Linked DNA regions of Cricetulus griseus. The protein of the gene in region 1 interacts with the protein of each later gene in a pairwise test. Links are inferred from orthologs where the notes say so. Each region holds a gene or a part of one and is shown in the gene's direction. Other genes may lie near its edges.

Evidence for each region.
Region 2: the proteins of Rabl6 (region 1) and Spink7 interact in binary tests that used the Homo sapiens proteins (3 or more experiments, as listed by UniProt). The link is inferred for Cricetulus griseus from reciprocal best matches to the Homo sapiens genes RABL6 and SPINK7.

Annotation. Positions count from the first base shown.
Region 1 is NC_048599.1:136,935,261-136,939,077, reverse strand, and holds part of Rabl6 (rab-like protein 6), read left to right. Parts: intron 1-584; coding exon 585-919; intron 920-1,173; coding exon 1,174-1,327; intron 1,328-2,174; coding exon 2,175-2,384; intron 2,385-2,474; coding exon 2,475-2,742; intron 2,743-3,133; coding exon 3,134-3,305; intron 3,306-3,817. UniProt on the Homo sapiens protein: May enhance cellular proliferation. May reduce growth inhibitory activity of CDKN2A.
Region 2 is NC_048595.1:176,492,397-176,496,838, forward strand, and holds Spink7 (serine protease inhibitor Kazal-type 7), read left to right. Parts: upstream 1-1,490; coding exon 1,491-1,551; intron 1,552-2,467; coding exon 2,468-2,493; intron 2,494-2,954; coding exon 2,955-3,079; intron 3,080-4,385; coding exon 4,386-4,431; downstream 4,432-4,442. UniProt on the Homo sapiens protein: Probable serine protease inhibitor.

The DNA of each region.
Region 1 (3,817 bases):
ATTAATACTGTGAATTGAGCTATGCTGATCTTGGGGACAGTTTCAGTTTCCTTACAGACCCCTGAGTTCTTGCAGAAAGTGAGGGCAGATAATCCTGAGGGTGGGCTGTATTGGCTCTGGCACTCTATACCCCCAAATAGTTTGGAACCATCAGAACCTACATCTGGTATGGTTCCTACATGTGGATCAGCACAAACCTGTGGTTAAAGCAACTACACATGTATGATTAGCAACTCTACCCCACTGGCAAATAACCAGCCATACCTGCCTCTTGGTCACTAGTTGGGTACTGTTGACAGCCACTGACCTACCCAAACCCTATAAAACAGTTGGTCCTGGTTGACTCTGGTCATTCATCTGTGCTGTGAGACTCAGTTCCCCAGGCAGGTACCAGTATAAAGGGACAGGATATAAGCAAGGCATTAGTCTGGGTACCAAAGACTGTGAGGCAGCTGATTGGCAGGCAGTCCCTATCCTCTGCTTAATAGTATAAATGCAAAAGAGGCACTGATGGTCAAAAGCCTTGGAGAAAGAGGTCCAAGAGAAAGCCAACTTCTCACTCCCTATCCTTTTGCCCCTCCTAGCTTCCTTGAAATGATGGAGGCTCGAAGTCGAGGCCATGCATCCCCTTTGGCGGCCAATGGGCAGAGTCCATCCTCAGGTTCCCAGTCTCCAGTTGTGCCTCCAAGTGCTGTATCCACAGGAAGCTCCAGCCCCAGCACTCCCCAGCCTGCCCCCCAGCTGTCCCTCAGTGTCTCCTCCACCTGTCCCCAAGCACCGTCTCCTGCACCCCCTTTGGAGGCTGTGCCCTCCTCTGTGCAGCCTTCAGCCCCAGCCCCAGCCCCAGCCCAGCGTCGCAGTATCATCTCTAGGCTGTTTGGGACCTCACCAGCTGCAGAAGTGTCCCCTTCACCTCCAGGTAGGCCTGGGAGCAGCCCTCTGAACATGTGAATTTGGAGCTAGCTTCTGGTATCTTGAGCCTCACATCCCTCAGAGACTGGAATGCGGTTCCTGTGTCCCTAATAAGCTCCTCCCTCATGGGCCAGCTGCTGCTGTTTGGACCTATGATCTTGAGTCAGGGTGCATGAATTGTCAAGTCCTAGTCCTACAGACTCAGTTTTGAAGCTTTCCTATCATGGGGCCACATAAGGAAGAAACGGCATTTCTCTACAGAGCCAGCTCCAGCCCTAGAGGCCCCAGCAAGAGTCCAGAATGTTGAGGATTTTGTCCCTGAAGATGGCCTTGATCGAAGCTTCCTGGAAGACACAACCCTGCCTAAAGACAAGAAGAAAATTGGAACCAAAGGCCCACAGCAGGATAGTGACAGGTAAAGATAGATTGATGGAGCTGAGCACAGGGTCTACCTCAAGGGACTGCCAACACAGCTTCCCCATCCCATTTATACCTGGATCTCCAAGACACTGCTGGGGATTGTGGAAAGCCTTTCTTTGTGCTTGCTGGGTTGGTGTCTAGCTTTAAGGAACGAAGGCTGAATTCTGACTGGAAAAACTGAGGGAAGGGCTGCTTAGATTAATCACTGCCACCCTGGGGTATGTAGATAGCCAGCTCACCATGGAGTGGGGCAGTTTATGCCCACAGCAGACTGGAGAACACTGGGCTGGAATCTTCCTAGGACAGCAAGAACCTTGGCAGATGGCCCAGCAGGGACAGAGGCACTCTGAATATATCCTAGCCCATTCTATGTGTAGGGCATAGGGAAGGCCACCTGGGTCTCTCCATATGGACCCAAACAAGCAAGCCTTGGCCAGGTGTGGCTTCCTGTAGCTACCCCTTCCCACAAACCCCATCTGTCTTCTAACAACACACTAAAACCTGTGTACAGCCAAGCTCTAAGATCACTCTCTCTTGCAGATCAAATGTTGAATGACTGTTAGCATCTCCAGCATCATCATGTTCAATGGAGCCAAGGGATTCCCTTCCAGAAACAAATAGATTCAAGGCTTCTAGCTGGGCTCCTCTCCCACTGATTCCCTCATTGGCCAGCAGCAAGGCAGTGTTGTCCTATTATTCCCACCTCTATTTAGCAGCCCCTGTGACAGCCCAGAAGGTCTTGTCAATAGAATATGGTACTGTAGACAGGGCAGCTCTCCAGGCAGTGGGGTAGGGAATCATAGCCCCCCTCGAACTTCTGATTGCCTTCCCCCTCTTTGCAGTGATGATGGGGAGGCCGTAGGAGGGAACCCAATGGTGGCTGGTTTCCAAGATGATGTGGACATAGAAGACCAGCCACATGGCAAATCCCTGCTGTCCTCAGACCCCATCCCCAGTAAGAACATCAGTCTTTCCAGTGAAGAGGAAGATGAAGGACTGGCAGGCCACCCCAGAGTGGCTCCTCAGCAGTGCTCAGAGCCTGAGACAAAACGGTATGGGCTAGGGTCCTCGGGGTATGGCCAGCTGAGATAGTGGCATCCTAGGGTGGCCTCAGAACTCCTGACATTTCTTCTTATGTGAAGGACTTCCACCAAGGCCTCACATCTACAAAAGAAGGGAGCTCCCACCCGAGCCATACCCTCATGGTCCGATGGTCTCACCACTGGCTCAGGGACTGACCTCGGCAGTACCAAGCCACCTACTGATGGCTCTCATAGACCTCAAGAAGGAAAGGACAAGCAGGTGTCGTCAGAAAGTGATCCTGAGGGGCCTATTGCTGCTCAGATGCTGTCCTTCGTCATGGATGACCCTGACTTTGAAAGTGATGAATCGGACACGCAGAGGAGAGTGGTAAGGACAGTGGGAAGCTCAGCCTCCATCCTTCCAGAGATAGAGGACAATCAAGGTTTGTTTCCCAGAGCAAGGTTTAAAGAGAGGCAGGAAGGAGAGTATTCCTGGCTCCAGTGCCCCAGAGACACAATCCCTTCTTAACATGTTTCTGAAGCCAGCTGGAGGAAGTGGACAGGAGTCCATGGGTGGGTGTCCATTGTCCACATGAAGGCCCTGCTGATCTGGGTCAGGTTAACCCCTTTCTACCCCACACCAGCCCCTAGGTTCCCAAAGGGACTTGCCATCTTGCTTCAACCCATGGCAGTTGTCAGGACAATAGGCCTACCAACTACACACTCTCTCTCTCTCTCTCTCTCTCTCTCTCTCTCTCTCTCTCTCTCTCTCTCTCTAGGGGGGTTTCCCAGTAAGAGAAGACCTCTCTGATGTGACCGATGAGGACACTGGCTCTGCCCAGCCACCCCTACCCTCCAAGCCCTCAGTCTCTGCTTTCAGACTGAAGAATGACTCAGATCTCTTTGGGCTGGGCCTGGAGGAGACAGGACCTAAGGAAAGCAGTGATGAAGGTAGGAGGGCCTGGAGCTTGTCCCTCTCCTTGGAGCCATGTACAACTTGGAGGTCCTTATCCTGTGGTAGTTCAGGGACCTGCGTTAAGAATTTTAGCCTGCCTACACATCATAGCTATTAGCTATAAGAGTCTCTAGAATGGGAGTAACTGTCACAACAGATGGCTTTGCCCAGACAAGCATATGCCCAAACCTAACATCTGCATTGTGGCCCAGAATTGCCATCCAAAACTGTCACCCTGTTCATGGTTCCCTATGTATCCCTCTCTGTGCCAACTGCTCTGCCAACATTCCAGGCCTTTGAAACAGAACTATTTCGGAAAAAAAAGATAGCTGCCTAGCAGATGTGCTTGGAACTGCAGCCCAGAGACAGCTCAGCCCCAAAAGGAGGGGAAGAAATTTCCTCCCAGGCTGGTTCAAGACTCACCAGCACAAAAATAGATGGGAACCCCCTAGATTCCCTGTAGGACCAGGTCTCGTTGGGAATCAGGTATCTGTAGCAGCCTCTGCCT
Region 2 (4,442 bases), on another chromosome or scaffold:
CATTAGTTGTGTTTCAGAGATGAAGAATTACTGTCTCTTGATTTTAACTAACATATTCAGTGGCTTTTAGATGAATAATACAAATGAGATCCATGTTGTACAATGGTGGTTTTTTAACAAGGCTATATTGGCCCCCACAAATATGTAAAAGTCTAAATTTTAAGGTGATGCAATGTTATTTTAAGTTGTTTAATATCATTTGCATATGAGGTGTTTCAGAACATATAAAATTATGCTTATTAAGCAATGAGCTCTATATCCTGCAGTCTTCCAGGTTTTCATTCATGTCCTTGCATTTTGCAAACAAATAGCAGGCACTTGGAAAACTGTTGTTGAACAACACAGTTTACAGTTTAATTACCAGCAATCCAAGTACTGACTCCTGTCTCCTCATATTAACAATCTCAAGTATGTATTCAAACACACTCAGCTTTTGAGCACACTTTCATGTTAATGGCATTTAGCTCGGTTGTGACTAATGGGACTGGGATGGCACTCAGGCTCTGAGGGAGTCCACTCTGCTGTTTGTCAACTACTTGTAGTCATTCTCATGTTGACCTTCAGGGGACAAGCTAAGAGTGACCATAATAATTCCATATACTCTACAGCTGGAAAAGATCATGAGACCAATAGCTATGTGACAGAAAAGGGTTATCGCTTCTGGGATCGAATATTTATTTCATTGATGGAAAGGGATGTCCTTCAGGATATTACTTCACCTCACTTGACAACCCTATACTAAACAGTGACTACTCTGCCCATTTGGTAGCTGGAGTGATAGCCTTGCAGCAGCATCACCTGACCACACATTCATACAGGTACCAGATTTAAGTTATAGAAATCTTAAAATTACAACTATCACATGACTGTGCTTTCCTGACTGGTAAAAGTTCACAGCTTCATCAATGACTTGTCCAAGGTTTCATAGCTAGGAAAGACCAACAACTTTCTCCAAGTCTCATAAATGTCAAAGCTGTTGCCATGTTTGCCAGACCCTACCATGCTTAATGGCTTCACTGCTTTCAAAAGAAAACTATTTTCTCAGGAACCTAACCAAACCTGAATGTAGGTATCCCATGGCTTGCCTGTGTTTAATACCTTCCATTCAAGTAAAATAAACTGAGCTGGTAATTTCTTTTTGTTTCATAGCTAAGACAGGAAACTTGTGCTTAATCTCTTCTTCGAGAAGCTTAGTGTAAGTTAACAGTCCTCACTTATGCAACAGACAGAAAAAAAATACTCTTCACCTCAAATCACCTCCCTGTTAGTGAGAAGGGAAGCAGTAATTAACTGACAGGTGCTACAGCACCACTCAGGGTGTGACGTGCTTTGAGAGCTTCTTGGGCCCAACACTGACTTTGGATGATCTCACAGGAGAGGTGGAGAAACCAAAGCTTTCCATATAAATATGACCCCTCTCCTAGTGCACAGAACATTCAGCTTCAAGCCATTCTCACAACACTAACATCCTCATCTCATCCCTCTGCACCATGAAGCTCATTGGGGGCCTCCTTCTGCTCTTCACAGCAACCTATTTCTGCAACAGCTCAGGTAAGTTGGGTTACACAGGTCACATGTAGTCATGAAGGATTTTTCTTTTTTACAAACATTTTCTCCTAGATTCTAGGACATAAATATCTGATCAAGTGGATTTAAAGTGAGGAAGAGTTCTGGCTGGGGAGAAGGATCATGATTCTAGCTTTACTTTGAGGGAGTGGGATTTAGTGCCTTCCCTTGAGTGGATTCTTACTTGACACTCATGAACAAAAGGGTCCTAATTCCTTTACAAAGTCTGTTACATAAGGATATTTGCCCCTGGACCAGTTGATGGCTACTCCCCAGTGCAGAGATAGAGAGTCCTTAGGTGTCTTCATAGATCCATATAGGAGGATGGAAATAAACCATACTCCTCCAGAAGGCTCAAATTACTAATTCAGCTTTTAAATTGTGAAAAGAGGTTTAGTTAAAATACGTTTCTAACATGTTAAAGACATTCATTCACTTTTCTGTTTGCTGATTTGAGACAGGATTTTACTATGTGGTCCTAGCTGGACTGGAACTTGCTATGGAGACCAGGCTGTTCTTGGACGTGCAGAGATCTGCCTGCTTTTGCCTCCAGTGTACTTTGATTAAATGTGTGCACCCCCACATGTGGCCCTTTACATTTGTTTATGTTGATTAATAAAGAAAGTGTATCAGTGATAAGGATTCAGCAGCAATTGACTTTATTAAGTACACATAAGCTTCAGAAAGAACAAATAAATTTGCCTTCCTGATTCAAGAGCTTACCTATTGGCCATTCAAGTTCCTAAACAAACACCTGTGATTTTCCATAATGATGGAGTATACACTGAGATTCAATGCCAAAAGAAATGAAAAGTCTTTGGCTGAAAGATAAGACAACATTGATTAATGAAAGTTCCAGGTTTGCTTTATTTTTAATATTTCCATTGTATTTGTCTTCCAGAAGTTACCACTCACCCTTCACCAACAGTAAGTATGCTAAACAAAATTTTAATTTCAATTTATATTGGCTATTACTTAGTCAACAAATATACATAGCTCATGTCAAATGTTTAGAGAAATCAACAGAGGAGATAAACACAGATGGAGAAATGTTTTCCCCATTTGTAAATAGGCATGATAGTAGATCTTCTCTTATTCAAGTGTCCTAAATATTAAATAGTGGGAAATCATGTCACACTAAAGTTAATTGTCTGGTACAGAAATGCTCAGCGATTGCTCATCAAGTGTGGCATTTGAAAGAAGGAAGGGTTCTGGGACTACTGGTATTTATCATGATGGTGGAGTCACAATTTATAAAATATTGCTTCAACAGCATCAGAATACTTGAGATGAGAGCAACTTCACCTCTTGTAGCCTTTCTAGTTGATCCAAGATAGTTATACTTGAGGTATTTGAGAAAACCAGGACATTTTCTTGTGTCTAACCAGGTGGACTGTGACATATACAAGAAGTACCCAGTGGTAGCTATCCCCTGCCCCATTGAAAACACACCAGTTTGTGGTTCAGACTATATCACCTATGGGAATAAATGCAAGTTGTGTACAGAGATCTTGTGAGTATCAAATACAAAGAGTTTATCTGGGATGCTCCCTACTCAAATCCTTTCCCTTCCCAAGATCCCTCTTAACTCTTTATAGTCTACACATTTCCTTGCAGAATAGAGGGCAAGAAGAAAAAGCCAATTGTAGCTGAATCAGACTATGGGTGGGCCAGCTATTCTGCCAACTTGAACTGCTCCTATCCCACCACATATCTCTAATTATTGTAACTCTAGGAAGTCATGAGTTTTCAAACTCATATTTTGTAACCTAGAGTCAAGTCAGGAGTCACCAAATGGGTGAAAGTGGCCATTTGGAGTGGGCCCCAAACCAAAGTTGAAGTTTCACCATTTTAAAAAGTCAGTACATTTTGCCATAGTTCCTATTTGAAGAAAGGTTCCTAAATAATTGGAGAGCTGGAATCTATTATTGTACATGGTTTCTAAGGTACTAAATAACTTTAATGCATCTGGGCTTTATTCTCAAATCGCTATAGGCTCTAAGTAAGTATTAGTAGTTTTAAAGGATAATAGGCAATGAAAAGGATTGGTTTGCCTTTTTTCTAAAATAAAGGATACAGGCTGTTATTACTGAATCAAAAGTCCATGAACATGCTTTCTTTAGGTATTTTGTTTGGCCTGCACAGTATTTGGAAGAATAGTAATTAGGTAGATATCACCCTTTTAAAGTATAAGATGAAACTTAATTTACTATCTTATATCTAATTCACTTTTTATCATTGCTAATTATCTTATAGCCACCAGCATTGGGACACTTACGTCCTGTGTTCTCACCTTTGCTGTTATCTTAGCAAGTTAGAATAACAAGTTGAGCCTGAACCCATAGAATATGTGCACACACACATTTCTGTTTGGGAAGTTTCCTTTCATGGAAGGAAGTATTCTTTAGCACAGATGCATATGCAGCCCTAGACCAAGAAACTAGGCATAATCAAGGCCAGGAGCCCCTGAGAGAGAGAAATGATGGAAGTTTTCCTCAGTATTGCAGTATCCAGCTCCATCATTGTCCTCCTGACCAAGAAAAACAGAGACAGGCTACCTCAACTCCATTTGTGGAGTCTAATTTATTCTTCCAATAGAAGTAGAAGATTGGGATAGTTATCATTGAAGCAGTGAACCTCTCCTCTCTTGAAACAGCATGATGTTCTGGAACTCAGTCTTCCTTTCTGGAAATAGGTTCTACTCCACAGTCTTGTTCTTATCCACAAAATAGGTTCCACTGCTATTTCATAGTTTTTAAACTTCCTTTCAACTTTTATGTTCCTGATTTTGTTGAGTCTTGTTAATCATCTTTCCTCAGGAGGAGTAATGGGAAAATTCAATTTCTTCATGAAGGCCATTGCTAACTTCTCCATGG